Linked DNA regions of Cricetulus griseus. The protein of the gene in region 2 binds, or shares a complex with, the protein of the main gene of each other region. Links are inferred from orthologs where the notes say so. Each region holds a gene or a part of one and is shown on either strand. Other genes may lie near its edges.

Region 1 (8,097 bases), on a different chromosome or scaffold from region 2:
AGTTGCTTGGGACTTAGAGGATACATTTGCCTTTACAGCTGGCTAGGATTTAAAACAGATCCCTGTCAGACAAGCAAGACATTTGACCTCTGCTGACAATTTTCTGGGCTATTTTGCAGTCTATCTGGTCCAGTTCCATGATGCATCCTGGACCCTCCGCTCTGGAGCAGTTGTTAATGCAGCAGAAGCAGAAACAGCAGCGGGGACAAGGTGCCATGAACCCTCCACACTGAGGCCACAATAGCGACCCAGGGAATGAAGGCTCCATAAACCATGGCATGTTGGGTTTGCAGGACTGGCCCACACAGTCCCTGCAGGTGGCAGCCCTCTTGTCTGTTTCTTGCTGTCGAGAGGGTGTAAGTGTTCCACCAGCCCGCTGAGTGTGCACGAAATGTTCGCAGTGCAACAAAAAGAAAAAACCCATCCGGAACTCTGGTTCCCCGGGGCTTTCCGGAGGAGAGAGGAGCTGCTGTTTGTCTCGCTCAGTTACTGACAGCACGCCTCTCACCTTCTCCACCGCGCATGTCCCCAACACGTGGGAAGTGGAAGCTGAGAAGGGAAGGCAGATGGGAGAAGCCAATAGGAACTTCTCAGTCCTTTTTTCCTCTTTGGGGAATAAAATAGGAATCCATTATGAGTGCTTTGCTGACTGAGAATGTAGTTGAAATTATTCTTAAACATCTTTTATTGTTATTACTCTCAGTAGCAAAATATCACACTGAATTCTTCCATACACAGGTGTACTTCTAGTCAGTGTGGAGCAAAGACAGTCCTGTTTGCTGCTCCTGTGAGAGGTCGGTGGTGACGGGACAGGGAACTGACCTCTTAAGCCAGTGGGAGTGTTCCATAAGGGAGAGTACAGGCCTCATAGAAGGTTCTGGTAGGCCTTCCTCCAGCCTGGAAACTCCAGCAGGAAATGCCCTTCACTCTGTAGGTGCTCGAGCCCCAATCGAGGATGCAGTGTGGGTGGTGCTGCTGGGCTAGACCAGCAGGTGGCTGCTGTAAGATTTCAAATTAATGTTTTTGATTCCTACACTTTTGCAGTAGCGTAGCAAGCAGTCTCACAGAAGGCAGGCTATTCCATTCATAGCCTGGAACACATTTTAATAGGTGGATGCTTTCAGTGTGGTTATTTTTTGTTAAGTTGGTTTTGTGTCCCCATCCTGCTTACCAGCCTCTTGCACCAGTCTCCACCCCTTTAGCCATATGCTGTATCCTAGTAATTGTTTTATCCCTAATGTGTACAACATCTCGCCAAGAAGCAGCAACACGGGGCCAGCACTTGGGGCCCAAAAGACGGTCTGAAGAGGAAGGAAGCAGTAGTGCCTGCATCGCTACAGAGGAGCCGGGCCTCTGCCCAGTCACAGGCTCCCAGCCTTCACCTCAAGAACAAAACTGAAGGCAACAGGGACAAATGCACACTGTGCACAGAAGAAAACAGAACGAACGCCGCTTTGGAACAGGCGGAAGAAAGGAATAAACTCTTTATTTGATATTTATTGGGAGGAAAGAGAACTGAAGATGTTCTGTGTAGGAACAGAAGGACAGCATTTCTGTTAGTCATTTCCTGGAAAAGTAATATTTTAAGGGGAAATTATGGAAACAATCTAAATGTCCAATTGCTGTGCTAGGATAGGGATTATTTTCTGGGAAGTAGGTGTGTGTGCGCGTGTGTGTGCATGTGTGTGTGTCCACACATGGCCATCTACTCTCCCAGAGGGCAAGGGCTAAGTGTGGAGTTAGTGTGGAACTTAGCTGGAAGACAGCTGTAGAGCAAAGCACATCCATGAGCCCCGGGTGTCACTGGGGTCTGGGCTGCCCCGGCAATGAGAGGGGTGAGGTATTGCTCTTCAGAAAGAGTGCTTGGAGCCCCAGACTTACTCTATTGCTCTTTTAGTTTGACATGGTATTTGGGTTTTCTTGGTTTTGTTTTGTTTTTGAAAGGTCTGGAAGTGAACCCCTCCCTACCCCCACCCAATGGCAAATGAAACCCTCTGTGCTGCTCCAGTCCCCTCCCTGTGTCCACCTTTGTCCTCTTACCTATTCCTTCCCTGCTCCCTTCACCCGGTTTGTGTATGTAAGCTCTGCATTCAGACAGCTGCAACATTCCGATGTTGGAAATGTCACTGATTCTTGCACCTTAGACCAGCCAACAGGTTTACCAGCTCCCTCCCAGTAGTACCCACTTCCCATCTTCAGCCCCAGTCTGCATGAGAATTTGGTGTTTGGAATGTTTTATGACTCTCGGCAGGGTTCCTCACCTTGCCATCCTCACTGTGGGGTAATGAGGAAGAGGAGGAGAATCTTCAACTGGTTTTGTGTAATACTTTCCTTTGTGTTTTGATTTGGTTTGTCTTTTTTTTCTTCTTCTTCTTTTTTTTTTCCCCCGGTCTGTCTGTGCAAGATCTGCAGCTGCTGAAATCAGCTTTGCCTTTAATTAAACCGTGTTCTCTCCAACCAACTCTGTGTGGAGTGTTCATTCTGCCTTAAAGGTACAGAAGTAAAAACAGAGCTTAGAACTTACTCATCCATCTTCAGGAACAAAGAAAGATGGTCACAACTGGCTATGCTTTGGGGTTAATTTTGCTTTTTTTTAGCATTCCAGTGAATTGTTCTGGAAAATGATAGAAATAAGACTGCCACAGTTCTTTCTTCAGTAGAGTGGCTTCTGTAAAGGCAGGAACAATCTACTTTGTAACTCATCAGGAGGTGATTCAGTTTATTGTCTGGCCTTTAAACTTCACTGACTCTGACACCAACATCGATAACTGTTAGCCATAGGGTGGTCTCTCTTCCAGTTTGTCCAGTTTCCAAAGGCAACTTCAACAGTGTACTAGCCTCTCACCTAGATTGTGATTCCACGTAAAACTTAACTTCCTGCCGGACCGTGTTGATGCATGCCTTTAATCCTATCACTGTGAGTTCCAGGTCAGCCTGATCTACAGAGCTAGTTCTGGTTTAGCCAGGGCTAAACAGAGAAACCCTGTCTTGAAAAACCAAAGAACAACTCAAAAAACTCCATGTCCTTCCTGCTCTTCACTTGCACCTACAAACTTGAAAAATAGTAAAGCCCTATGTGCTACAAAGAGTGGCAGGGCGGTACTGTCCCAAGGTCTACTGTTTAGGGATCCTTGTTCCCAGGTAACAGGGACCACCAAAATGACATGAGTTTTATCACGTGGATTAGTGTTGAATAGCACAGGTAAAGCAGCAGGATTTCAATGGCTGTAGCCTGTCTCCTGAACACAGCTTTTCATCATTCAGGTGCTAGAGCCATGTGTTTACTATTCAGCTCTTAGTAAGTGTCCATCTAACAAGGCATAAAGAGCTTTCACTGTGAGAGTTTAATTCTCCATGGGAATGAATCTTCTACTCCATGGGTACCTGATTAAACCTAGCTCCTCTTTAATGAAACCTAAGCTTTAACATCAGGAAGAATATTCCCAATCATCTATTGGGTCTGGACACTGTCCTGTTCTATTTTCATAACAGAAGGATGCACCCTTTGGCATGAGAACTCCGGAAGTTCTCATGAAGTTCATATCTGGGTAACCAGCACCCAAGAAGAGCCCTTCATTCCCTTTCTAGAAAATTTATCTCCCTCTTCTCATGTACAAGGAAATCATCCCAAATTCTCACAACTGTGGGATGGGTTCAGTTTTAATAGGGAAATGTTACGTTAGAGAAGATTTCCAAACATGTCTTTGGTGCATAGCAGAGATGGGTAAATCTTGAAAACACTAGCGCTCTTCAGCTTTGTGGGTTATAGAGCATCCTAGACTTCTCTGGGAGTGCCTTCCAAGTCCTTGGTTGCACATTCTTCAACAAAGGCTTTAGGGAAAATGCCAACTTTCCCTTTACACTCTCCTTCCAGCCATTCTTCATTCACTGATAAAAGCAAAGTATATATTGATTACTAAAAGACAGGAAAAATGGCACTGTCATAAGTGGTCAGCACTTAACCCAGCTAGTCATCTTCCCGTTTCCTTTGTGGTAACATACTGGAAAGTAATTTGAGGTTAAAGTGAACATAAAGTCTACCGGTTCTGTTGTAGATGTGATAAATAAGAGTAAAATGTAGGATGAATTACTGTAAATATACAAGAACGGAACATGAATCATCAAGGGGAGTTTTTGGGTTTGTTAGGTTTTTTTTAAGAAACCATCTTATCTAGGCTTTGCTGGAATTCGTTTTGATAACATGAAAGGGCATGCTGGTAAATTCAATAGTGATTAATCAACACCTTAAAACTTGGAGTTAGGGCTGGGCGGTGGTGGCGCACGTCTTTAATCCCAGCACTCAGGAGTCAGAGGCAGGCGGATCTCTGTGAGTTCAAGGCCAGCCTGGACTACAAGAGCTAGTTCCAGAACAGCCTCCAAAAGCCACAGAGAAACCCTGTCTTGGGGGGAAAAAATTGTTAATTGAATTGGGTTTAGTACATTTGTAAAAACAAGCATTATAATAATCCTTTAATAAGATATGTTCACTGTGACTAAATACACACTCAGGGCTTAACAGTAAGTAACTCAGTTAAAAGTTATTGTCCCCATTTTTAAGGACAGAGACACCCAGAAAGTAATCATCAAATCACACCATACAGGTTAATTATATCCATTTAAACATACAAGAGCCATTCAGAAGTCATATTTGGATATGCTACTAGAACTTCCTATAGTCCCAGGCATAGTGGTGCACACCGTTTTAATCACCACACTTGGGAAACAGGCAGGTGAATCTCAGTGAGTTCTAGGTCAGCCAGAGCTACATAGTGAGACCCTGTCTTGAAAACAAGTATAGTGTAGACTATGATTAAGCATTAGTTATTCCCCAATTTCCCTCTAGAGTGTTAAGGTGCAGACCACTACCTTCAGTCTTCTATTTATGGTTTGGTTATGGGTTGGAAGCATCTGCTTGCCTGGGTCTTAGGAACATATCCAAAATGCAGAATCTGTTGACTGTATCTCAAGCTTTAGTTAGCCAGTGTCCATTTGAAGAGGATCCCAGCAAGTCATACACACTAAAGCTTCATCTCCATAGATGCTAAATTCTGTCTCCCATTGTTATCTTGAGAACAGATTGCACAGAGGGACACTTGCCTGCTTAAACCACTGTGGCTATCATGAGTGTCATAGGATATGGTGTCTTCTTAAGGTTTTTCTTGTGTGTTCTCATTGTTATTTTACCCAACACCACCACCACATACACAAAAAGCTAGATGTTATACAACATGGTGCTGGGTTCTTAAGCCCAGTCCTTACTGATTTTGTAATCTCTTTTGAAAGAAAATGCTTTTCTCCTTTGAGTTGCTACACTATACACGATGAGTTGTATATACTCTATTGTGGTGGTTTGAATAGGAATGGTCCCCATAGACTCATGGGTTTGAATGCTTGGCACATAGGGAGTGGCACTGTTAGGAGGTGTGGTCTTGGAGGAAGTATGTCACTGGGGGGGGGGGGGTGGATAGCTTTGAGGTCTCATACGCTCAAGCTGTGCCCTGTGTGGCAGTCTCCTGCTGCCTGCAGATCAAGATGTAGAACTCTAAGCTACCTTGATGTCACGTCTGCCTGCATGCTGCCATGCTTCCCATCATGATGATAATAGAGTAAACCTCTGAACTGTAAGCCAGCCCCAATTAAATGTTTTCCCTTATGAGAGTTGCCATGGTTCTGGTGTCTTTCCACAGCAATAGAAACCCTGACACACCTATCCAGGTAACCGCAAGTCTTTCACTCAGTCTATTGGATTTGCTATTATAAACAGCTACATACTACTTTGCCTTAATGATGCTTAGCATTAGTGAACAGATGGAGAACATCTGGAAGCAGCTGATGCTCAGTACTCACCTCAATTACAGCAGTACTTCCTGATATAATTAGACCAGTATCACTTGGAAACTGCTGAGAAGTGCAACTTTGTGGGCCTCACCCCACATCTGACCCAGACTCTGGAAGGTGGGCCAATAAACTTAACCCTTCAAAGGATGCTTAGGTATAATGAACATTGAGAATCACTGAGACTTCTTCACGTAATGCTTTACTTTTGTGTAGGGAAGGTGTGTGTGTATATGCGCGCACACCTGTGTGTAAAGAGCCTCTGCGCATACAATGGCCAGAAGTAGTTGGGTGTCTGTCTTCTCTTAGCCCTTTAAGATGGACTCTAACTGGATCTGGAGCTGAGGTGTCAGTCCTACCAAAATGCCTGTCTCTGCTCCCACAGTACTGGAGTTATAGGCACAAATGTGGCCGCAGCCAGGATTTTACATGAATACTAGAATCCCTGTTCCGAAAGCCCTGCCACTGCTACCCACTGAGCCATCCCTCCAGTCTGGTTCACTTCTTAATCCATAGGTTCCGAACAATCAGATAAGTCACAAGTGTGCCTCTACTGCAGAATGGGCCCTCCCCTTCTCTCCTGAAGGTACAATTAAAGGTTTTATGGTTTATAGCAAAGGCAGAACAATTAAAGCCAATTACATACTGGAACAGTCAAGATGATGTCATAGTCTTGTCCCTAATAGAGAAAGCCACACCCTTGCATGTGGACCCTTTTACCAAAAGCTAGGAAGTCAGTTGAAACTATTGACTTAAGAGTTGATGTTCTCTGTCTGACCTTGACCTTGTTTTTACTGATACATGAGTCCAGTTCTGTGATTTGGAATACGACTTACCATGTGAGAGCACCAGGATTACATCTCCTTCCACAAACTCCAGGTCTTCCGGCTGAGTGGCCTCATAACTGAAGATTGCTGTTACTTGGCTTCCTTCCTTAAGCTGAGGCTCTGCTGTCCGGGTATTGACATCAAAGTTTTCACTTTCCTTGGGTTCGTCTATCAAACCTTGATCACCCTGAAATAGCAAGGGGCCTATTAAATTTGCTAATTTGTTGGCCAGTGAATACTGAAAACCACTAATGGAAGCAGTTGATGCTCAGAACTTAGCATAGGCCTAAAATATTTTATGAATACTAAATGGTTGGGTAAATGAAACTGAAAGGTGTACAGAACCCTCAGTAGGCCTAAGTTGCCTTACTGAAATCTTAAAATAGTCCCAGGGTGATTAATGTAGGTGTTGTTCTTTCCTTTCATATTGGGAAATAATTTGAGCCACAAGTAAATGACAATCTATGGTATAAATTCAGCTAGCTTCTCTCTGTCTCTCTCTGTGTCTCTGTCTCTGTCTCTCTCCTCTCTCTCTCTCTCTCTCTCTCTCTCTCTCTCTCTCTCTCTCTCTCTCTGTGTGTGTGTGTGTGTGTGTGTGTGTGTGTGTGTGTGTGTTTATGTACCTGTGAGCCATGTTGTATGAGTAGCTCAAAGGACAACTTGGACAAGTCAGTTCTCTGGGAGTTGAGCTCAGATCATCAGGCTGAGCCATCCTGCTGCCCTAAAGTTTCTTGGCACTGAACTCATCCTCTTTTCCTAGCACAAACACTAAGGATCTTGTTAGAAATTCAGCTTTTGCACTCCATCTAAAACCTACTAAAACATTCTTCCTAAGTGCTAGCTCTAGGTAATCCTCATATTCTCTAAAGCTTCAGAACCATGACTTTTAAAAGACATTTCTGAGGCAGGCGGGTCTCTCTGGGTAGTACAGGGCTGCCTGGAAGTCATCTTCTTGCTCCAGCCTCTTACGTACTGAGATTAAATGTGTGGTACTATGCCTGGCTGTATGTCCTCCCCAAGGCAGTGCAGTGAGGTGGAAATAGCCCCCATTGAGTCTGCAGGTCTAGTTTGTTTTTTTATGTTTTTTGTTTGCATGTATGTCTGTGTGCCACCTGCATGCCTGGTGCCCATGGAGACCAAAAGAGGACAATAGATTCCCTGGACTGGAATAACAGATGGTTGTGAGCTGCCATGTGGGTGCTGGGAATCTAACCTAGGACCTCTGGAAGAGCAGTGCTACTGACCGCTGAGTCATCTCTATAGCCCAATCCTAGGTTTTTATACCAGCTCCCATTTACTAGCTGTGGGTCCCTGAGTAGCAGTGTAGCCTCTCTGGACCGGGTTCCACACCTGATGTTGAAGCTAGAGAATGAAATGAGGTGAGGCATCATAGCAGCTGGCCTCTACTGAATACTAACCCTGGAGCAGCACTGTT
Region 2 (8,097 bases):
TCTAAGCTCCTTAAGTTTGTGGCCATCTGCCCTTACTCACTCTGTGTCTCCAGTTATTAATATATTGAAAGACCAGGGTGACAATTCAATAACTGACAAACTTAATTTTCAGTATATTTTTACTAAAGTATGTTCATCCATCTTCTTTTTTCAACATGGGAGATGGAATTTAGGGCCTTTTGTATTTGGCATGTTCTTCAGCACTAAGCTACAGCCCTTCCTAGAAGGGCATATTCACATTTAATTTGCATTATTTGACCTACTTCCCTGCTAAATCATTCCTGAGACAGAAAGCACAAGGGACTCCCTCCAGGAGGACACATCATTTGAGGTGGAGCCATTCAAGGCCCTCTGATTCTGAGACTATATAAGACATAAGGCAAAAGACCTTATCTTTTAACCTTCCTGTTTCAGTCTGACCTGAAGATTAGGATGGTCACAAGTTAAAAATTTGTTTCTACACATAAGCGAGGTTATTAAAAGTTCACCAAGGACTTCTGTATGCTTAGTCCTATCCTTGGGGCAACCAGAAGGGTTCAAAACCCAAGTCTGAATGATTCAGACCTCTAAAACCAAACAAAAATTCCATGGCTGTTTAGTTAGCACAGTGTTCCATTAACAAGTTCTTGAAATTATTATATCCTTACCATTTCTAGAGTAGGTTATTTAGCAGGTTCAAATAGTCATATTAAACAGAACCACAGGGACAGCTCAAGATGTTTAGTTGACACATACAAAATCAAATGGGTTCTGGGAGCACAATTACCTGGCTTTGAACCCCAATCCTCCCATTTAATTGTGTTGCCACCTCACTCCTTTTACATGAGTTCTATGATGCTTCAGTGAGCTATGACAGTTCCGATCTCCAACATTAGTCACAGCATTAACATCTCAATCAGAAAAGTAGTTTCATTTTTCCAAGTTCAAATTTCAGACGGCCAATTTCAGAAAGAAGGGCATGCCATCCCTGTAACAGACCATTGTTTTTGAGGGAGGGGAATTGGGAAGGAAGGGTCACAGAAGAGGTGGTATGAAAGCATAAAGAGCAATTCTAGGGAAGGAGGAGTATAAGTGGCAATGAATGACAGAGAGATGGGGAGAGAAGACAGTGAAGAGCCTGGTCAGCCAGAACCAAGTATGTATGAAAATGCCCATGACTCCATATGCTAATTTAAATAAATAAATAAATAAATGAGTGGGGGAAACGGTTCTTCTGTATGAAGATCTAGCTATCTGGTTAAACAGTTGGGCTTTTCTCCAATTTACCACTGCTATTAAAAATACTCATGACATTTTATATGTGGTGCTCATGGGAAATGGACACTTAAGGCTATGCAACTTCGGGTTGTGGGGTAACCAGGATTTCTTAACTGACCACCTTGGTGAAAACACTGCCTGTTTCTCAGGCTTTACTTCCTCTAAATAGAAAGTATTCAAGTGGGGACAGGGAGAATTTTTTTACAGCACTCAAATCATGTCTCCATAAAAAACAAAAAGTCACTGTGCAATGGTTTCATCTAGCAACTCTTCATCTGGCTCCTGTACTATTTTAAAGATGGATGGGCAGCTTGGCTCTCAGCCTTTCAATCCAGTGAAATTTCATGTCTGTGGAGTCTTCCATTCAGGAGATTATTTGGAAAGCCTCGTGGCCAATGTCCACCACAAGGTACTCTTGTGAGATTTTGCCCTGGTTTTGCTCAGTTTGCAAGGTGAAATTGTGACATCAAATTAATGACTTAGATCAAGGAGCTTTGTCACAATATTTTCCAGTGCTAAAGGACCTGACCCTTTCCAGAGAAGCTCAAAGGATTTGCCAACATTCTTCTTTTATTTCTGTCTGTTTGATTTGTTGTTTTGCTCCTGAGCAAAATGACTCTAACACTTTGCTCAACTACATATGGAACTCAGGGCTGACTGCATGGCACTACCAAGCTGCACCTTTTCCCGACTCTTCTCAGACCCCTGAGAATGCAGTTTAAGATGAAATGGTATTTTGTAAAGAGGTGGGTAGTATCAAAGTTTAATTGTTGTCTGCTCATCCCATTTTAGCAAATTGATGGATGTATGTTTTTAAATAAAAACTCTTCTTTACACTAATATGAATTTTATATGACTCGAAAGAGGGAGGTAAAGTAAAACATAAGTTGAATCTGTAAATCACAATCTAGTTCATATATTCAGTAATTGTCAACTGAAGAGTTAATTCCTTAGCTCTATTTTTAAGTGCCTAGTTTCCCAGCAAATTTCCTGCTCTCTTTCCAAGTCTTAGCTTAGAGCAGTAGTTCTCAACCTGTGGGTCGTGACCCCTTTCACAGGGAGTAGAAAAACATGGAAGCTTACATTATGATTCATAACAGTAGCAAAATGACAGTGATGAAGTAGCAATGAAAATCATTTGATGGTTGGGGGGGTCACCACAACAAGAGGAACTGTACAAAGGGTCACAGCATTAGGAAAGTTGAGAACCACTGCCGTAGACACCCATTACAATTACTGTCCTCTCATAAATGTAGTTTGCTTGCTGTTTTCCCTCAAAGTTGATTTTAACTTACATATTTTAAGATTTTAGGAGTGAGGGGGAGGGGTGGACAAGTTTGTGGGGTGCTCAGAAGTTGATGTCAAGTGTCTTCTCTATTTTCCACCTTAATTTTGAGGCAAAATCTCTCACTGAATCCGAAGCTCACCTATTCTGCAAGACTAGCTGGCCGTCGAACTCCAGGTCCTAGGAGGACACTAACCCCTAAATATTTCTCAGGAATTATTCAATATGGTCAGAAATAGCAAAAAAATCCCAAAGTGAAGCATTGTCTTGCTGATAATTAGGCTTTAAAGGCTAGTTACACAGAAATATATCTCAATCCAGCTCAGGATGCTGCCTGTCCTTGGCTTGAGTTTCATGTTCAACCTGTCCAATTCTGTGCACTGTTTCTATATTTTTCCCCTTTGGGAAGAATATACTATCCCTCTTTCTCCCAAGACAGATAGAACCTGAACATATTCATCTTCATTCTCCAAGTACACAAATGTTCATAGAAGGAAAACAATCTAAGCATCAACTCATACATTGGATAAACACCATCCTTTGCATTTCTTTTGGTACTGATGATTGACCCCACAGCCTCATACATAGTTGGCAAGCACTGTCCTACTGAGCTGCATGCTTTGCCCAACAAATACATTTAAATGGAACACAATAAAGGGTAATACAGAAGGTATTAAAATATTTTTCATTTTGAGTATAAAAATTTCTCATCATTTTCTATGCTCTTGCCCATGCTATTGTCTCCGCATAGAATACTTCTCTTTTTTTCTTTTTTCTTAATTTATTTTTTACATTCTAATCCCAGTTCCCCCTCCTCCCCTCCTCCCACTCCACCCACTGCCCCCCAAACCACCTCCAATCTGCTCCTTGGACAGGGTAAGGCCTCCCCTAGGAGGTCTACTAAGTCTGTCCATTCATCTCCTTGAGGCAGGACCACCTCCACACCCCTGTGTCTAGGATGGGCAAGGTATCTGTTTATATAGAATTGGCTCAACAAAGTCAGTTTGTGCATTAGAGCTAGATCTTCGACCCATTGCCAGTGGCCTCAGATATTGCCTCAGCCACACCATTGTCATCTGTATTCAGAGAGCAATAATATGAACAAAGGAGTCAAGACCATGATGGAGAAACCCACAGAATTAGCTGACCCGAGCTAGTGAGAGATCACCGACTCCGGTCCGACAACTGGGGAACCTGACTGAACTAGAATACTTTCCTATTTCATCAACCAGTTCTGGCTGTTGATTTATCCTTACATGCTGATTCTCAAGCTACTTCTCTCTGAAACCTTCCTGGCATTCCCTACCCCATCTAATGTAATTTCTGTCATATTTGATGCCTATGGCTCTTTATTTTAATGTTTTATGGGATCTACCGTATTTTGCTCAGTACAACATTTCTTTGAACACATGTGATAAATAAATATTAATGACTTAATTTTCATCTTCATATAATGCTACCAGTTTTTAAAACATATATAAAATCTTATAGGGCAAAGGGGGTTATGGACATGAGGAAAGCTCTGAAGCTTTCAATCCCATGAAGCTAAAATCCTTTGCTTTGCTTTTCTTTACTTTTGTTTTCTTTTTAAAATGATCTCACGATGTAGCTGAGAGAAGCCTAGAAGTCACTATGTATCCTGGGATGGCCTCAAAATTAAAATTTTCCTGTCTCAGGCTCCTCATTGCTGGGATTATAGATATGTGCCACCATAGGAATCAACTGTTACTACTGATATTTTCTTATGGTATGTTGTTTTGTGCAATGACTGAATTTGCTTGAGATGCTACCCACAAAAAGTGTTTTCTCTGATAAAAACTTAAAAATATTCTTGAGCAGGTAATTCCAAAATATCACATGTCTGGCTCATATACCCCTAACACATGTATGTTTACTCCATTACTATTGTTGATATATAGTTTGTTTAGCTATTTTTCAAAATTACCAAGTCAAATGATTGCTCCAGGGAACACTACCCTCAAATAGTATATTATAATTTGATATATACCATTTAATAGATAAATACTTATGTGTGTTGATATATGTATGTGATGTATATGACAGCATAGGACATGGTGTAGCTCTTGAATATTCTAGACAAGATAAGCTTCCCAATGCATTACTTTGCTCTTCCTTAAAAAGAGCATGACGGCTTGAAAAGTTGAGGCAGTCAGCAGAAGGTTTGTTCTTACCGCACTGGAACCCCTGAGGAAGGAGAGCAAATTTCGACACACTGGCAGCAGGATCAGCATGCAGTTGAAATTCAGGCAGGCTGCAGGTGCCCTGGCCAGAGCCAGTGCTGACTACAAGGGAGTGGATAGGGAGGAGAGAGACTGGTGAGCAGAAGACCCATACTTCTCTCCCCTGAGCGCTATCATGGGACCCCCACATAGCTCCTTCAGGACATCCAGAATGGAATTTCCTTCAGAGCAGAGAACCTTTTCTTAGGGTCTACTGATATGCTTTATTTTACCTGAAGCTGATTTTCACCCCCAACTGAATATTTTAAAGTTTCAAACCTGAAGAGGAGTAGAAATAAATGTACTTTGATTTTTGTTTACCCACCTCCCAGACTAAACCTTTTACATTTTAGCATGCATGCATTATCATATATCTATCTTTCCATCCCTTTCTCTATCAGAGGAGACTATCAGGTGTCCTGCTGTATTTCTATTGCTCTCTGCTTTATTCCCTTGTGACAAGGTCTCACCTTGAACCAGGATCTCGCTGTCTTTTGTCTAGTCTGGTGTTCAGTAAGCTCTAGGGATCCTACTGTCTCTACTACTCCCTCCCGCTTCCAATAGTGGAGTTATAGGTGCGTGTGGCCACACTTAGCTTTTTACATGGGAGCTGGGGAACTGAACTCTTACCCTCATGCTTGTGTAGCAAGAACTCCTATCCTTTGAGCCCTCTTATATATGTGATATGTTTTAAAGTAAGTTGCATGCATCAGCTTACTTCCTCCTAAATCTTTAAGTGTACATACCATTCTCATGAGGTCAGTATAAGAACTAGATCTTTGATTTTAAACAAAGTCCCCTTAGCATTTAGACATTAACTGTATGGCGTAATACTTGGGCAAAATCTGTTTAGCAATATCTAAAGAAGTTGCCTATTATACAAGGAGAACAGATCATGGTGGATACATTAAAGACAGATTTAACAATGTGATGTTTGATAATATTTAAACAAATGATTATAACATTAATATAAGTAATTGTTTTCAGCATTATATAAAAATGCTGTGCTCTGGGAGTGCCAGTAGTTGTAATTATTTTCATTTGTGATGAAGAGACATAACAGTTCAAGGAAACAGATTACTTAAGGACTCAAAGAAATTCAAGGCTCTCCTTCCTGCTGGCCTACTGAAATGATGTAGTACACAAACAAGTTCCCACAAGTCTCCAGATGTAGCTTAGGGTTCATTTCCTCAAGATCATTTCACATGTCATTATGAGGGCTTCTCCATGCAAATAAAAAATGATATGAAGCATCTAACTTAGAAAACTATAGAAAATTTCAATTGTCACACCAGTGTCACCTCTGTATGGGTGGCTCCCACTAGGCTTTCCATTATAGGGATTCCTATGTTAAGCTTGGTACATAATGGGTAAAGAGGGATGCAGCTAGGACCCTCTGCCACACTTCATTTTTTTTACACTGTCAGGCCTTAAGAGACTCTTCTTTTTTTTACACTGTCAGGCCTTAAGAGACTCTTGCCAAAGAATTTACATTTGGGGAGGGGAGCTGGTGATGTTGTCTTGGTTGATCAGAATATTTATTTTCAATCTTAAAAGGAATACATACAAGCACATCTGCCTAGAAGTGTAAACAGGTTGATATTGCATGAGGTAGAAGTTTACTCACCCCAAGGAGTTTTCGAGTATAAAAGTACTTAGGTCCATCATCATAAAACTTGTAGTAGTGAATAAAGAGGAAGACGTTCAACCCCAACCACACCAGCTGCACAAACAGGAAAAGTCAGATGAGGTTTATAAATCTAAATAGATGGATTCCACATGATACTAGAGTCAAGTAAAGGACAGGGCTTCCTCCAAGTTCTGGCTTTGACAAAGGTGGTTACAAAGCTGGATACAATCAGCTTAGAGGCAGCACTTTGTTATTCCAGTGCCACTACACTTTTCAGCAACTGACTTTATCTTCCTTCAGGGTTTTGCATGATTGCTTCACTACTTGGTCAACATACTAAATTAATATCAGTCTGTCTCTTCTCTTTTCTCTCTCCTCTTCTTTTCATCTTAAGCTCAGAAAGACAGGTAACATTGGTTGGTATGTAAAGCAAGAACAGATGGAAATAAGGTATTGCTGACTCTCAACCTGTAGGAAACTGAACTCTACTCTCACAGATGCCAGTCGCCTACTTGCAGCACATATAGATTACCATTCTATTTGATAAGTTTTCCTCAACTTTTAAAGGAGGGGATATTGAACACGGACAATGGGGTCAAGGTCATGAAATTTAAAAATAAAGTAAACGTTCTAGATTTTAAGTTCATATTTTATGCCAACAATAACCTTATCAAGGAGTGATACTGCCCAGTCTTCTACCTTCAGCTCCATAGTGACTTTGTTTCAATATTAAATTATTAGTTATTATTAATACTAGCTATTAAATACCCGTGGATGCTTCAAAACAGTCTCTCTTTACAAAGATGCTACAGAAACTTCATTTCTTACCCTGCCATTCTCCCTTACTCTAGATTTCTAAGCCCTGTCTTTACTTTCATGTATATGCATATATTCTTTAAAAGCTTACTTCCTGGGGAAACTGTAATTAGAAGAAGATTTTATTTCAGTTTGTTTCTTAGGTGAATAATCTGCTCTTAAAATGGTAGTAAGAACTCAGGACTACAGTTTCAAATCCTCATGCTTCTATGTTGCATTAGAATGTTGGTTTGGCATGAACTATGTTTCAATCCAATATTTATTGTTTTAATTTTATTCATGCTACTGATTTATTAATATCTCCAGAACTCAAAGACTCCATGCACCACATGGTAAATTTTTTATAAAACTTTCATTCATAAATGATTTTAACACCATGCTTCATTAGCTGATTGGCAAAGATATTTAGATACCACATTTCTCTCAATTTGATTCATCCATAATTGCTTTGCTGAGAACACTAACTTAGGAGTACAGAACAGAAATCAATGTGTAATTGAAAATTAGCCATAACCATATTTCCAAAATTGTTTCTCAAGATAAGTAGGTTTACATATAATTGTATATTACATACATACCTTATATATACACAAATACATATAATATACAGACTGCATATTTATGAGTCTAAATAATTTTATTTCTATTCTTTTATCTGGATTTGTTGTAAAACTCACAAGTAACTATAGTTCAGACCTCATAGAAAAAACTGTGCTTGTTTTAAAAAGAAATTTGAGAATTTTGTTTGTTTTGTTTTTATTACTGAAATAAAGGTCCCTTTCTCATCCACGAAATCTATAAGACAAATATTATTCAGAAAACAGCAAAGTTTTGACCATTTGAAATAGATAACATAAAAAGTGGAGAAT
Region 3 (8,697 bases), on a different chromosome or scaffold from region 2:
TGTCATGTCCCTGAGCCCTAGTACTCGGCACAGAACCCTTCTCTCGCAGGTATGGCCATCTAAGGCTGTGTGTGCCAACCTTGTTGGCCACGGGTTCATCTCAGAAGAATAAACCCCAGCAGCAGTTGGCACCAGATGCCACCTACACAATAGCACAGGGCTATCAATCAGGGGCAAACCTCAGCACCTGACCTCAGCCTTCATCTCCCACCTCCTCACAGGGAAGCTGCTGCACAAGGCTCAGATCTCCCAGTCCAGGGTCTGTCTCTTGTAAAAAGGGAAACTGAGGCTCGTGGGCTCAGAGGGAGAGTGGCCACTTTGTGGCCACTTTGAAATCCCTGAGCAGGTGGGTCCTCCACCACAGCCAGGGCAAGTAAAGACAGGATAGGGTCTTGACTCAGGGACAAGGGCAGTATCAACACACCCTGGTGACAGTGGCCTTCAACCAGAATCCCCTTTGTTCCTGTTCTTGCTCAGGTCTAGGAGTAGGGACGTGCAAGGGGTTGCACACCTAGGGTCACTCTGACTTCCCAGAGCCTTAGAAACCTGACGGCAAGAGTCATCCCCACTTTACGCAGCAGGGCAGTTTCTAGTGTTCATTCATATCAGGACACAACTGGGCAAAAAGCAATGTCCAGCTGTCTACCCAGCCCCTCTGGCTGTCCTTTGTTGGGTCCTCCCAGCTAAGCCAGGTGTCAGAGACAGATGAATCCCTGTTCCAGAAATGGAGCCCTGTACAGGGACATGGAGGACTTGGAGTAGAGCCTTGGTTTGGCATTAGTGGGGTTGGTGGTTCCTCTGATGGCCTGCAGGGGTGGGCTTTGGGTGTCCCTTTGTTTACCCTTTATGCTCCAGGCAGGGCTCCCGTGAAGATAAAGGTAAGGGCCCCATTGAGGCTCTGAAGCCATACAGGCTGAGTGGCCCTGGGGGACAAGCCCCTTAGCTGCAATGAGCCATCAGGATATTGTAACACCCTCTTCCCTTGAGGACACGATGCAATCAGGAGTGTGACATCCTGTACTGGGCCACCAAACTGAAGGCCTTCTAACTAGTGTGATGGTTCCACTGGGCCTTGTCACTGCAAAACACATCTGTCATGTATAAGACTTTGTGTATGTATGACACTGTGTGTCAACCGCCATGTAGAGAAGGTGAGGAGAGCCCGAGAAAAACACAAGGCTCCTGCCCTCCACAGGCTCATGATCTTGGGGGAGATCTGGCAGACTCCTCTGGGGGATGATAGGACTCTAGGCCTGATCAAAGGCTCCCAGGAGGACACCAAGGATGGGCTGGAGAGTGTAGACATGAGGATGAGACAGGAAATCACCACAGGCATGGCAAGAGCTGATGCAAAGGCCCTACAGCAGGCTTACCAAAGGAGTGTTGGTATAAAAAGCAAAACAGTGGGTAAAATCTCTAGGAAAGGAGACTGAGGGAGAGCCTGAAGAGACTGAAATCTGTGCAAGGCACTGGGGAGCTTCCCTGTGAGTGGGGGTTGCCCAGAGTCCCTTCTGACACCTGGACACTCATCACTTTGTATCATGGTTGCCCCCTGTGGCTATATCCTGCACCAGAAAAAAGTCTTCCCACAGATTGCAGCTGGTACTGCCCCACACCAGCAATTTGGTCCCCTAACTTTGCTGCTCTCTAGTGCTACTCCTCCCTCACTGCCACACTCCGTCTCCACTCCTACTTTCTTCTCCTGGTCAGTCCATCCCACAGTCCTTCTTCCTTCTGGAGCATCCACCTCCCTTGGGGTCAGTTTCCCCAAGGTGGAGTCTCTCTAGCTTTACTAGCCTGCCTGACCTTAGGGGTCCAAAGAAGAGACCCCCAAGAAGTACCAGGAGCAGGCAGAACTCACACAGTGGGGATGTATTCTCCAGGGAAGGCATTGGTGGTATAGCTGATGAGAAGACACGTCTTGCCCACGGCTCTGAAAGACAAGAGACAAGAAGCAGAAGAGACAAGGTCACTGGCTGTGCCTAAGACAAGGGGAGACCCAAGCCCTCTACACAGGCTCCCATCTCTGGGCCTCAGTCTCCCAATTCCAGACACCCCGTGGCCATGCTCTCAACCTCTCCACAGTACCCATAAATACACTGACTTCAATCCTGGCCATGGGTCTGAGCCATGCGTCTTGGGAGAACTGAGGAACTGTACAAGTCCCAATGTCCTGGGTGCAGGTGATAGACACAGGCAGCCATTGAGCAGAGAAGAGGGCCATGGAGACCTGGACAAGGCTGTCACACACCTGGGCTCAGATCCCAGTTCCACCATTTACCATCTACACAACTTTGGCAAGTCTCCTAAGCTGCTTGTACCTTACTTTCCGCATCTAGATGACAAGGACAAGTCCATCTTCCCAGTGAATAAAGTGACACTCCTAAGACCAGACTGAACCCATGCAAGGCGCCACAACAACCAATGACTGTTAAGGAATGCCTGCAGCCTTATAGAGTATGGAGCTTTTTACCAAAGGGGCCTGGGTTCAAATCCTCTGCACTCTAAGGGAGGTTTCTTAACTTCTCTGGGCTTCAGTCTTCCCACCAATGAAATGAACTCTGCGATGGCAGATAGGGTTAGTGGGAAGCTAAATTAGACAAAGGGCCATGACCAGGTGACCACGCACAGTAAGTGACAAAGAAATGGGACAAATAGAGACGACCACCATTTAGGCTGTCTCCCTGCCAATCTAGGAGGCTGCCCAGGTCATTCAAGCAGGAAGCAGAGAGGCCAGAGGGGCAGCTCTGGGCCTTCCCCAGCTCTATTCCGTTAAGTCACTTCCCATTCTAGGAGCCTGGCCCGCCTTCTCTCCCACCTCCATGTTTGCCCTCAAGCCCCAGACTGCCACCAAGGTAACTCTGAATGAGTAGAACCATTGATTTCCGGCCACCCCCCTCTCGCCCACTCAGAGCAGATACAAAGCAGAAGTGAGTAAGGCAGCTGCAGCAGATAACGGCTGGCTGACACCCCTCTAGCAGCAGCAGCAGCAGCCGCAACGGCAATAAAGTCAGCTGAGCAGCAGATAGCCTCTGCCCCCAGTGAGACCAGCAGAACCCAAGTGTGGCCTTGGGACCCACTGACTACTCATCAGATTGAGTTCTGGGGCCATGACAGCCTGTGGTCCCAAGATCTGACAATGGTTATGCACCCTCAGCTGGGGTGCAGCCAGCCTGCCCCCTGGAAGTCCCCGCGATCCCCTTTCACCTTCCTCCTTCCCTTACACTGGCCTCAGTGTTCCCCAGTGTTCCCCATACTCCTCACTGACATCCCCTCTCATCTTCCCCACTACACTACAAGCAGGACAGTCTCAAGCGACCCCAGCCCACCCCTGGGGGCAGAGAGGCCTTGGCACAGATGGCGGGATAAGAGTCAGAAAGAGTGGAAATTCTCAGTAGTCCCTCAGCAGCAGCAAGTCAGTGTCTAGGTCAGCCTGGAGAACAAAGGTCCAAAGGTCAAGTTGCCTGGTTTCCTCACTTCACACCTGCACACTGAATAGGAACATAACTCCAGGCCCCCAACAGGAGCCCTACCCCAGCTCTCAGGGTACAGGCAAGGAGCAGTACCCCACCCACAGTCCTAGGCCCTCCACCCAGGTGGCTTCCGGGATGGGGTGGGATGGGAACAGAAGAGCAATCCAGGTCCACCCCAAATGTTCCTTGTGAGCCCTAGGAGAGGAAGTGACTATCCCCAGGACCTCCTGGGAGCCCTCAACCTGTGAGTATGCTAGGGAGGCAACATCCTGGTAGGGGGTGGGAGACAACTCAGCCAGGCACTTACCCATCACCCACCACCACACACTTGATGGCCTGCATTTCATTCGAGACCCAGCAGCCAGTGATGACACTTGGGGGCCAGGAGAGTTGCTGTGGACACCAGCGGTGTGGAGTGGCTGGGAGGTGTCTTGCAGTGAGGAGCGACACCCGAGTTCAGGAGGCAGGAGGAAACGGAAGAGGAACTTACCCAAGCTGCTGCCCCACAGCCTTGAGGGGGGTGGAGCATGCGGTCTGGAAGAGGACCTGGGGCCCCTCAGGTGCTAAGTTGGGCCTGGGCCACCCATGGGCACCAGACCCAAGTTCCAACGGGAATCAGGGCACCCTCTGAGCTTGGAGGTTCACTTCCTGACCTAGGGCAGGGACAAAATGGTTCTACTCATTCAGAGTTACCTTGGTGGCAGTCTGGGGCTTGAGGGCAAACATGGAGGGGGGAGAGAAGGCAGGCCAGGCTCCTAAGAATCTGCATCCTCCCAGAAGCCAGTTAGCCTAAATCCAAGTGTAAGCACTTAATGTGTGCCTACTATGTGTCAGGCATTGTATTGGGAGCTGGTGACTCTAAAGTACAGGAAGTCAGGGTGTTCTGGAGTTCTTAGTATGCAGAGAAATTCCATCACAGCCATGAGTAAGGCAGGAGGAGACAGGGGCCATGAGAGAGTGACCTCAGAGTCACCAGCGGGGAGAGCTGGTGGCTGTGAAATGTAATGTCCAACAGAGGATGCCTGGTGTGTGTGGAGGTGGTGGTGGTGGTGGGTTCCTGAGCAGGGGCCAGTGTGAAGATAAAAGGCAAAGGAGGGGAAGGGGGAACGAGAAGGAAGGAGGAAGAGAGGAGAGAGAAGAGGAGGGGAGGAAAGAGAGGAGAAGGAAAACGGATGGAGGGAGAGATGGGAGAGAAGGAAGAAGAGGAATCGTGAGAGAAAGATGGTAGGGGAAGGAGAAAGGAGGGGAGGCAGGGTCAGATGCAGTAAAGCAAGCTCATAGAAACTTGGCAAGCTATCTGTCAAAAGCTGCTCACAGCATGGTGACTCACACCTGCAATCCAAAGAAGCTGAGACAGCAGGGTCTCTGTGAGCTTGAGTTCAGGATACAGAGTGAGTTCCAAGCCAGCCAGAGCTATATAACAAGATCCTAGCTGGAAAACTATCCCAAACCAAAACCCCTGCCTACAAGCTGATGTAGGCTTCTTGCCATTTTGATTGTATCAATTGACTGTTAGGGATACTGAGACACTTGCCATGTGTTGTTGGGCTTTTGTGTTTGGGGTATTTTGTTGGGCACTTGTGGTTGTGATTGTTTATTGAACTTTTGAGTTTCCTATTGCATAAGTTGCCTATTTACATATTTGTCCATTTCTCTATTGGGATATTTTTTTCCTCTCATAATTATTTGGATAAGTTCAGTGCTTGATTTTCAAGTGTGTATTGCTATAAACATTGCCTAGCTCATTTCCAGTCTTGGGATTATTTTGTATAAGCTATGATATTTATAAATGTTTTTATGTGTTTGTATGTAGTCAACTTTAAATTTTCTTCCCTAATGACTTATACTCTTTAAGTCTTCCTTAAGCATTCCTACCCAATTTTATAAAGATATTCTGTAAAGTGTGTAAGGTTTCTGTCACACGTGGAGTGGATCAAGGACTGCTTGTAGTTGTTGTGGGATGTTAATTTGAATTCTCTAGTGCTTTCTAAGTTTCTTTTCCTACCCCCGTGAGAACACGCTCTGACCAAAGCAACTTAAGTGAGAAAGGGTTTATTCTGGTTCACCACAGAGGGCAAGCCAAAGCTGCAGGAGCTGGAAGCATCTGGTCACCCACAATCAGGAAACAGTGAACACACAGTGCCACTCAGATCCTTCTCTCCATGAACACAGTCCAGGTCCCTGCCCACAGGACAGTGTCACCCACAGTGGGCTGATCTTTCCACCTCAATCAACGTGATCAAACTCCAGTAACCATGTTCGGTGGCCCTTTTCCCAGGTGATTCTAGATTCTGCCATATTGACAGAATGCTGACCACCACAAAGTGCCATCCATTAAACAGAGTTCCACCTCTCTTTTCTCAGTGAGTGGCAGTCAAGCTGTCTCATGTGCCAAGACTGTCATCTGCAAGCCAACCCTGTCCTCTCCTCTGCTGGTCCACATGCCCTCCCAGCAGCCAGCACAAGCCTGCTTCTGTTACCCCAGCTCTAAGCCTTTACATGCAATCGGGAAACCCTTGAGATTGTTGAGATTGTTGCTGATGTAGATTTCACATCTACACTGTGGAATAAGCTTAAGCCAATGGCACCAGAATCTTGGGCAATGCTGAGTTCAATCTACAGCAGCGAGTGGGGACCTGATACCTTTGTAACACTCAGTCTGCCTGCCTATTATAGTATCCTCTCTTTCTCCTTCATATCTTTCAATAAAATTTTGCCATTTCCTCCCAGAAAGGTCATGCACATTTTCCAAAAGATTTATCTCTTGATTCCTTATTACTCTCAGCACTATTGAAGCTAATAATTTTAAATTGAATTTCCTATCTGCTCCCCATATGTAAGGGAAATGTCAGCCTTTGCATACTAGATTTACGCTTGTGGAAACCTAGGCCAAAGTCTCACGACAGCTTTTTAAACTTTTTAAAAATCACCTGCCAGGCTGTATCTGTGGAGGTCAGAGGACAGTGTGTGGGAGCAGATTCTCTCTTTCCGCCATGTGAGATCCTGGGGAATCTAACTCAGGTTATCAGGCTTGGCAGAAAAGCCCTTTACTCTCTGAACCCTCTTACCAGCCCTTGTTACTGCTTAATCTGAGACCTGCTAAAAAGGCTGACAGTGACTTGCTGACAGTTTATCAATAGTAGAAGAGAGACAGTGTTGTTTCATCCTCCTGGTTTTATAATCTTCATTCCTTGGCTCATCTGAAGAAGCCCACAGAGCCAGGTATGGAGCCTCAGTCCCACCTTGAGCAAGATGCTTTTGATGTTTTAACATGAACACAGGGGACCTGTTGCCCATGAAAGACACTCATTGCTTTTCTCCAAAACAGAGACTTTGGATCTTATTCTGTTTTATCTTTCTGAACACTTTTCCATATGAACAGAGATATTAAGGTGACAGGGATGTCTTTTCTGATGTCCTGTCACCCTGGTTAGTCAGTCTTGACAGTCTTCTAGCCTGTCCCCAGCCATTCTCCAGTTCATGTAACACTCTCGCTGTGCCTCCACGTGTGCTCATGTGGGGGGACACGCACCTACTCACACCTGCATGCACACACACACAGAAACATCTATACACACACTCACACCTGCATGCACACACACACAGAAACATTTATACACACACTCACACCTGCATGAACACACAACAGACATGTGTACACACACTCACACCTGCAGGCACACACAACAGACATGTGTACACACACTCACACCTGCAGGCACACACACACACACACACACACACACACACACACACACAGACATGTGTACATACACTCACACCTGCATGCACACACACACAGACATGTGTATACACACTCATACCTGCATGCACCCACACAGACATGTGTACACACACTCACACCTGCATGCACACACACACACAGACATGTGTACACATACTCATACCTGCATGCACATGCAAGGGCACACACTCACATGTGCACACCTACACACACGTGCATACTCACACATGCAAGCACACACCTGTACACATACACTCACATGTGCACGTGTGCACACACGTGCATACTCACACATGCAAACATACACACTTGTATGTACATGCCCACAAGTGCATGCACTCACATACATGTCCACACACTCATGCATGTACACACGTGTACACACACATGATTTACCAATTTTGATAGTTTCATATGCTCGTGACTTTCTTTTTTATAACATGCCATGTGAAAGTGTGTCATCCGTGTCCATGAGTCCAGGGAAGGCTGCTGCCTCACTGTGATACTTTCCTTACAATAGATCATGCACTATGTCCTGCTGACTCCTGCTGGGGCAACAGGGTTGAGGGCCCGGCTTGTGGGATTTGTAATAAATAGATGTGTGTTGGCTCCACACCATCTACCATCAGAGATGCTTGGCGAGCCTGTCCGGTCATTTGTAATGGCACAAAGAAGACTGGCAAGAACTTGATTCAAAGGCCAGGTGTGGCATCTCTGCTATGACAGAAGCTCTACATGAGCCCCTGTTCAGCTTTTGCTTCTAAACCCAGAGGCTATGTCATCAGACACCTTTAGAACGGTCATAGCTCCCTTAAACACCCAACATAAGTCTTTATCCCAAGTCTAGCCAGAGCTGAGGTTTAAAAACATCACTTGGGGCAGAGGAGATAACTCAGCAGGAAGAACCCTTGCCACACAGCATGAGACCTGAACTCAAATCTTCAGAACCCACATAAAAGCCAAGCAGAGTAGGGCGATTTTGCCATACATATGTTCCTACTGTGGGATGAGCGGTGGAAGCAGGAAGATCCCAGAAGCTCACTGCCAGCCTGTCTGGCACAGGAGCAGTAGACAACAGTTTCTGCCTCAAAACATGGGGAAGATGAAGACTGACTCCTGAGCTTGCCTTCTGACCTCCACGTGGGCACCATGGCAGTTTTGTGCCCCTAACACACACGAAGATTAAAAATAATAGATAGGGCTGGCAAGATGGCTCAGTGGGTGAAGGGGATTGCTGCCAAGCCTGACGATCTGAGATCAATTCCCAGAACTCATACATAGTGAAAGAAAAAAAAAAGTGACTCCCAAAAGTTGTCTTCTGAGGCAGGGCAGTGGTGGCGCACACCTTTAATCCCAGCACTTGGGACACAGAGGCAGGCAGATCTCTGTGAGGTCAGTCTGGTCTACAGAGTTAGTTCTAGGACAGCCAAGGCTATGAAAAGAAAGCCTGTCTCAACCCCCCTGCCCAAAAAAAGTTGT
Region 4 (6,965 bases), on a different chromosome or scaffold from region 2:
GCATTTTTCATTTGATTGCAGACGAGTCTGGTGAATGCCATGGATAGCATAACCTGTTTTTTTTTTATTTAATTTTTTAATTATGTAAGTGTATCTATGTATGGGTCTGTGCAGGTGCATATAGGTGCTGTGGAGTCCAAAATAGTGTTACATCTCTGGCGCTGAAGTCACACGAGGTTGTGAGTGGCCTGCGGGTGCCAAATGTTGGACTTTCTTTGGGCTGTCAGTCCACAAATAACGAAATGGAAATTTATTATGAAAGTTTGGCTTTTAGCTTAGGCTTGTCCCCAACTACCGCCTATAACTTAAACTAACCCGCATCTATTAATCTGTGTTCTGCCATGTGGCTTTTTTTCTATAAATAATTATTTAAGTTTATTTTATGTGCATTGATATAAAGGTGTCAGATTCCCCTGGAACTGGAGTTACAGACAGCTATGAATTGCCATGTGGGTGCTGGGAATTGAACCTGGGTCCTTTGGAAGAGCAGCCAGTGCTCCAACTGCTTGCTTCTCCAGCCCCCATGGCATGTGTTTTTTTCTACATCTCTTCCATTGTGTTTGTCTGACTTGGTCCAAATCTTGTTGAGGTCTCTGAGTGCCTAAATTCATCCCAAGTTCCTTTCGCTGCTCAGAAGTACTGCCTATTCTCTCCTGCATAGCTGTTGGCCATTCAGCTCTTTATTAAACTAGTCACAGTGACACATGTTCACACTATGTGATAAAATGGCCCACAACAGTGCTGAGAACTGAACTGGGTTCCTCTGCAGTAGTATATATTCTTAAACAATAAGCTATCTTTCCAGTCCCCCCCTCCCTATTTTTAAACAAACTTCTTGGCTGTGTCCCCAACCCTGCACTAGGTAGCTTCTACCTGCTGCCCCTGAACAAGCTATCCTGCTGTGAGACAGGCCTGCTTTGGGGGGCTGCAGCACAAGAAGAAGGGGAACTCTCCTTGACAGTTAACAAGATAATCCCTCTCTCCACAGGAATATTATCCACTGGCCTGGCTGCTGCCTATTATAGTGGAGGTAAAGTATGTTTTTCCCATCAGCTTCCTTGTACTTGGAAATAAACAAAAAGCAGAGAGCATTCCTAGTGTGTGTAACCTTTGGGGTGGCCTTTGCCTTGCCTTGTGTGAGAGATGACTATAGTCCATGTCCTGTACCTTAAATTTCTTCCTGTTATAAAGTACTCTCGGAAAGAAGCTCTTTAGTATTTATTTGCCTGCCACTTTGCTACAGGGAAAAATCGTGTGTCTTACCCTCCATGACAAGGTATATAGATCTACCTGTCTCCTAGGTGGACTTAGGCAGAGTTTGGGATACACATGTCACCAACGACCCAGGAAGGTACAGGAACGCAGTTGACTAAGCCTGTAACCTGAGATGAAGGAAGGAAAGGCTGGGCTGGAAGGACCCTCCTGTGGACATATCACTTTGGCTCCTTTAGCTAATGGGCTGATATACTATCTCTGCTTGCAGATAGTCTGGGCTGGAAGCTCTTCTATGTCACAGGCTGCCTGTTTGTGGCTGTACAGAACTTGGAGGATTGGGAGGTAAGATGGTATAGTAGCACCCTTCCCATGGGAAAGCATCTGTCCAGGTCCACAGGCACTGGGTTACCTGGACTCAGCCTTTGACTTAGCTTGTAACATTTCTGGACTCTTCTAGAAGCTGCTCATAACTTTTTTCACCAAGGTTCTGTGTTGTTCTTCTGCAGGCTTGCCTCAAACTCAAAAGTAAGCCTACTACCTCAGTCTTCAGATAGGCGTGAAGCACCACACTCAACTCCAGAAGTTCTTTTTTTCTAGGGTTGTGGCAATAAGTCTGCATTGTCCCTGGGCTGGACTAGCTACACAGGCAGGGACCTGTGAGACCATTCTGCTAACTCAGTTGGACCAGCTCCCAGGCCCTGAAGTTCAAGGGTTGGGGGCTTCCTCTGACCAGCCAGGACTTCACTGCAGGCCTAAAATAGTTGAAAGGAATCAGCAGAAACTGAGCCTGGGAAAAGTCAGGTGGTAGCCTTTGGGGGCGTCCCCTATCCTTAGCTTTAGCCCTCTTAGGATTATGGAAGCTTCCTGGCCTGGGCTTCTGCTTTTTGCTTAATGGCCTCATTGCCAACCTGTCTTGTTGCTCTTTTATTTGCCCAGTACTGAGGGATGAACTTAGGGCCTCATACCTGCTGGGCAAGTGTTCTATCACTGAGCTAGATACCCAGCCTGGTCTCGTTCTCATGCAAAGAGAAAAGGGCACCTATTCCGTCTGCTTTCTCTCACATGCCCCTTAGGCACAGAAGGTGGCTCTGGAAGAGCCCTGAGGGCTTTGGGGGGTGGGTTTCCACTGGGCATCTTGAGTATTTGTGCCAGTGTGGGTGTGGTGATCCCTCAATACTAGCTTGCTCTCTTCCTGGAGTTGTGTGTGTGGTTAGCATACATTGGTTTGCAGGAAGCTATTTTCAACAAGAGCACTGGGAAGGTCATCTTAAAAACATTCAGCCTCTACAAGAAGCTGCTGACTCTCCTAAGAGCAGGCCATGACCAAGGTAAGATGTGGGGAGTTGCAGTTTGGTGAGGGCTTGGGGAGGTTTGGATGGTTTGCTTGCTCAGGGAATGAGGGTCCCCCAGACAGATCCCAGCTTGCAGGGTGGGATCCAGGCAGATACCCCATCCTGCATACTTAAGGACTAAGCCTATCAGTAAGGATGGAAACGCCTTATCAGCTCCCTGCGGTTGGGTAACAGTAGTTGGAGTGGGTCACTGTGCCAAGCATACTAGCAGGAGTCATCTGTTCTTCAGGGCCCACTAGGCCTCTCTTAGGCCCAGGTCCTGTAGCTGTTTCCTATCAGCTCTGCTAGCCTAGCAGTGAGAAGATGGTCAGAGGAAGCCCCCAACCCCTGAACTTATGGGCTTGTGAGCTAGTCTGTGAAGTAACAGGCTCTCATAGGTCTCTTCCCTGTGTATTCAGCCCAGCCATTGTGCATTACAAACATGCAAGTAACTGTGTGTGCATCCCACAGGATCCTAAGTAGGCTTTAACATAAGGAGTCAGGCCTCTAACTTGTATGGAGTGCTAACAGTATACAGCCAAAAGTAACATTCGAATGTGGCCCATTCATTGGCCGTGTACAGCCAATGAAGACCAGAGCAGGGTTGTGGGATGCGAGCTAGTGCGCTGGCTCAACTTTCCCAGGCTGCTTGTTGAGAGCCCCAGCACAGACAGCAGGCCACGGGGTCAATCTGATGTCACTGTGGCAGTGGGGTGAAATAGGCTTTCCAGTGGCTCCTGGGAAAGCAGTATCAGCCATGCATTAGTTAGGCAATGGTTTTCCTATACAAGGAAATGACAGGGGTGCCCCACTGGAACCAGATAGGTTTTCCAGCCTTCGGTAAAATCAGGCAAAAAGAGTAGCATGAAGATGGCAGCTTGGGCTTAGTGATCCCAATAGGATTGCTCAGGGCAGCCAGCTTTTGCCTAAAACTGCAGGAGCGATGAGTCTCCTGAATGTATCCTTATCCAGATGTTATTCTGAATCCACAGTCTAGAATGTGGAATAGTAAACGCTTTTGTCACTAATGCCACTCCTACTGTTAAGCAGAGTTCTACAGCATAGGGTAAGAGCATAGGGATGGCCGCTCATCTGCAAACCCTTCTGTCCCCAGTGGTGGTCCTGCTGAAAGACATCCAGGATGTGAATGTGGAGGAGGAAAAGGTCCGTTACTTTGGGAAGGGCTACACTGTGGTGCTCCGGTTTGCAACAGGCTTCTCCCATCCCCTTACTCAGAGTGCAGTCATGGGCCGACGCAGGTAAGGGTGGTGTAGAGCAAGACTGGGCTATCCCTTAGTGTTTCTCAGGGCAGCAGGGGAGGAGTTGAATTTTGTAGACAGGAACATGGGGCTGGAGGAGGGATGTATGTACTTAGGGGCAGCTTTGCCATGGATATCTGTGGGGAGGGGGGCAGCACAACAAAGTTGATGTCTGTTAAGAGTATGACTGAGGCCAGAGGTACTGGGCCTGTTTGGGACACCAGTGGTTGTTGTAGGTGGTGGGGGATGAGACAGTGTAGGTCTTCTGTGGTGTGTTATGGAACCTGTACCCTTTGCCATGGTGACCTGCTTTCTTGATGCTCGCCTAGTGATGTGGAAGCCATTGCCAAACTCATCACTAGCTTCTTGGAACTGCATCGCCTGGAGAGCCCCTCAGAACGGTCACAAAGCAGCGACAGTGAAGCCGATGGCCCTGGTGATCAGAGCTGACAGTGTAGAGTGGCTGCTGGTAAATGTCACCCCCTTCTGACATGTCTCCAACTGACTTGCCAACTGTGAGCATGCAGGCAGATCTTGGACACCTGCCTATGACTCCTTGGGCAATTCTTGTGTGGACCACCTGCCTTTTGCTTGTTTATGCTTCTACGCTTTGCAGAACCATGGGCTGATGTGCTCCACAACCCAGAAAGGCTGCATCTGTCATGATGCAGGTGGGGGGAGCTACATCCAGAGGAGGGCAGGGTCTCAGAACTCAGTGCCTTCTCCAGAGTCAGATGGCAGTTCTGGCTTAGGCAGCACAGTCTGGTTTGGATGAGCTCACCCAAGGGCATCTGAGGTTTAAGACGCCAGTCTTTTCTTCAGCATAGGCCCAGTGCCTGCCTTCAAGAGGCCTTGCCACCCAGGCTATTGTAGTGAGAGTGAAACACCTACATGCCTGTAAGGAGAACCCTCTCTCTGTGCATAGTGGTGTCGACTTATTGCTATAAATCCTGATATCTCTTCTCCCCACCCCTCCTCAAAATGGACATCCTTGGTGGTCAGGGGCTTCCCTGAAGGCAGCTCAGAATGCTGGATGCCTGGATGCTGCCTGGCTGCAGAACTCTCAGAGAAAAGTGCTGCCGACTGCCCTGTTCCTGCCTAGACCACTTGTCTAAGGTCCCAGCAGTGTTGTAGCACAGCTGTTAGGAAGCTCTCCCAACCCAGCCTGGGGAGAAGCTGCTAGTGGAGGAAAGGCCACCTCTTCTGGCATCCTGCAGCCTTTAAAACCTGGGAGCTCCTTTACAGAAATTGAGTCTTAGCCTCTCAAGCCTTGAAAAGAAGGTAGACATGTGAGGCACACCCCTGTAAATCCCAGTTTTAAGTGAGGAATGAAGAAAGTTCAAGGCCAGTGCAGGCCACTGCCTCTTCTAACAGAAGTTGGTACCTGCCACTGATGGCTATTTCCTGCTCTTCTAGTTCTCTTCTGGGCAGACTCAAGTCCCTCAAAAGTAGTGCTCATGAAGTTTCCAGCTTGGCTTCCAGGCCTGAAAGCTGTGGACCTCTGGTTTGCACATAACCCCCCAAAGCTGAGTACCTATGCCTGGCCAGGTAGAACTGGGAAATTGAGGAGTTATATAGACAAAGAAGTCAAGGCAGCCTTGAGGCCACTTTGCCTGGGCTGAGCAGGAGTAGTTAGCCAGAACCTAAACAGGTCTTCTCTGAAGTGACTGCTACCAGTTCTGACTTGGGGAACATGATCCCTTGAACTTGCTAAAGTGAGCTTTTTAAATGGCCAAGTTAGACATTTTTTTTTTCCATAAATGAAAAGTGGAATACAGCTGTTGGCTTTTAGCTTGTTGCCTACAGACTTAAGGTACTTTAGACAAGGGAGAGGAGTCTCTCTCTTGGGTGCTGTCAAATACCTTTCCTGTATATCCCAGTGCTGGGACTCATTATTGGTGAAGAAATGAAGCCCTTTTCATAAGCAAGGGGTATGGTAAAAAGCTGATTCAAGTTCCTGTTAGGATTTCTGCTTCTACTGGTCTTTTTATTTCATAATTAATAAAGCTCTACATGCAGATTGCAAATGAGTCTCCATGTGCCTTTTTCTGTTTTCTGCTTTGCCCAAGGTAACTCTATGCAGTTTGGGAGCAGTCTGGCCGCATGGCTGGGCCCTGAGGCAGGAATCTGGGTGCTACCCAGGCAGATATCCAGGGCTCCAGCCCCCCCCTCAGGGGTTCTGACCTGTGTCCCAGCCTGGGCTGGCGGGTGGTGGCCGTGGGGCGGCTGCCTCGCCCAGGTCCTGCAGTAGACCCTGCAGTCGCTGCATACTCGGGAGCACATTCTCCTCCAGCCACTCCTCTACGGTGTCCGGGTAGAAAGTCAGCTGAAGTGCTGCCTCCAACTGCTGCACGAGGTTGCTCCACCTGTTCAGAAGGCTGAGGGCAACAACAGCCACCAGTTTGACTTGATGAGAATTCCTGCTAAGGCCCGAGTTTACATAGCTAAACTCATGTCCTCAGCCCCTAGAGCCAGTACTGTTACATGCCTCAGTTTACCATCGGGATGAAAATAAATGAATGTCTGGTCACATTTTAACAATCAAGACCACTGCCTGGAAGTTTTCCTCACAGCCATGAACGGTCATGCTGTTGGCAGCAATGTACTCAGTGCAAGTATATTCTTACTAGCCTAGCTTAGAATCCTGAACCAGGAGAGGACAGTGCAGGCTGCCTGGGGCTCCATCCACAAGGGTGCTCAGCACTCGGCTAGGCCTCACTGGGGAGTTAAAGAGCCAGCACGGACCTGAGGTGGACTGATTCCAAAGATGAGCCGTGGGTCAGCGTGGACATGTGGCTGATTATCTGTTGCAGGCCAGGAATCATTTAGCTTCTTGCTAACATTAGGGTCAGTGTTACTGAGCAGTGGCCTATCAATTCATCCAAGATCTACAGCTGCAGTACCTGGAGAACTTGTCTTGCCACGCACAGCACTGATAATCATAACCATTGCTACAGTGTGTGTTCATAAAGGGGACAGCGTGTTTGTTCCAGAGGCTGAACACCTGAGAGGATGTGATGATGGTGGCTACCTGAGTGCCTCGGGCTGTATGTGCTGGATCATAACTGGGTGAATATACTTCCTCCTGCGATGGTAGGGGCTGAACCAGCCAGTGACAAACCTGGAGCAAATCCAGACAGTGTTAGTGGGCCAGTAGTAG

The links.
Region 1: cytochrome b-245 heavy chain (region 2) and Ncf2 share a complex: the UniProt entries of both Homo sapiens proteins name them as parts of the phagocyte NADPH oxidase complex. The link is inferred for Cricetulus griseus from reciprocal best matches to the Homo sapiens genes CYBB and NCF2.
Region 3: cytochrome b-245 heavy chain (region 2) and ras-related C3 botulinum toxin substrate 2 share a complex: the UniProt entries of both Homo sapiens proteins name them as parts of the phagocyte NADPH oxidase complex. The link is inferred for Cricetulus griseus from reciprocal best matches to the Homo sapiens genes CYBB and RAC2.
Region 4: the proteins of cytochrome b-245 heavy chain (region 2) and cytochrome b-245 chaperone 1 are in contact, whole or in part, in a cryo-EM structure (PDB 8KEI), measured with the Homo sapiens proteins. The link is inferred for Cricetulus griseus from reciprocal best matches to the Homo sapiens genes CYBB and CYBC1. Residues at the interface, in NP_000388.2 of Homo sapiens: Trp28, Asn74, Leu75, Leu76, Ser77, Phe78, Leu79, Arg80, Gly81, Ser82, Ser83, Ala84, Cys85, Cys86, Trp206, His210, Phe212, Pro266, Met268, Trp270, Lys271, Ile273, Tyr280, Tyr324, Phe326, Lys328, Leu335, Glu336, Trp337, His338; in NP_001028218.1 of Homo sapiens: Arg22, Leu26, Ala37, Ser41, Gly42, Asp43, Trp47, Phe50, Tyr51, Phe57, Gln61, Asn62, Glu64, Lys77, His97, Asp98, Gln99, Val100, Val101, Val102, Leu103, Arg108, Ser111, Glu115, Val117, Arg118, Tyr119, Phe120, Arg129, Ala131.

What each region holds. Positions count from the first base shown.
Region 1 is NC_048598.1:38,800,925-38,809,021, forward strand, and holds the end of Ncf2 (neutrophil cytosol factor 2), read right to left. Parts: intron 6,850-8,097; coding exon 6,672-6,849; intron 3,889-6,671; coding exon 3,776-3,888; 3' UTR 3,451-3,775; downstream 1-3,450. Other genes in the region: protein SMG7, read left to right, coding at 120-233. UniProt on the Homo sapiens protein: Subunit of the phagocyte NADPH oxidase complex that mediates the transfer of electrons from cytosolic NADPH to O2 to produce the superoxide anion (O2(-)).
Region 2 is NC_048604.1:115,383,157-115,391,253, reverse strand, and holds part of cytochrome b-245 heavy chain, read right to left. Parts: intron 6,506-8,097; coding exon 6,410-6,505; intron 4,846-6,409; coding exon 4,735-4,845; intron 1-4,734. UniProt on the Homo sapiens protein: Catalytic subunit of the phagocyte NADPH oxidase complex that mediates the transfer of electrons from cytosolic NADPH to O2 to produce the superoxide anion (O2(-)).
Region 3 is NC_048595.1:375,669,312-375,678,008, forward strand, and holds the start of ras-related C3 botulinum toxin substrate 2, read right to left. Parts: upstream 4,681-8,697; 5' UTR 3,816-4,680; coding exon 3,781-3,815; intron 1,934-3,780; coding exon 1,862-1,933; intron 1-1,861. UniProt on the Homo sapiens protein: Plasma membrane-associated small GTPase which cycles between an active GTP-bound and inactive GDP-bound state.
Region 4 is NC_048600.1:133,700,031-133,706,995, reverse strand, and holds the end of cytochrome b-245 chaperone 1, read left to right. Parts: intron 1-988; coding exon 989-1,030; intron 1,031-1,483; coding exon 1,484-1,557; intron 1,558-2,446; coding exon 2,447-2,543; intron 2,544-3,660; coding exon 3,661-3,805; intron 3,806-4,134; coding exon 4,135-4,255; 3' UTR 4,256-5,832; downstream 5,833-6,965. Other genes in the region: Hexd (hexosaminidase D), read right to left, coding at 5,976-6,183, 6,837-6,926. UniProt on the Homo sapiens protein: Functions as a chaperone necessary for a stable expression of the CYBA and CYBB subunits of the cytochrome b-245 heterodimer. Controls the phagocyte respiratory burst and is essential for innate immunity.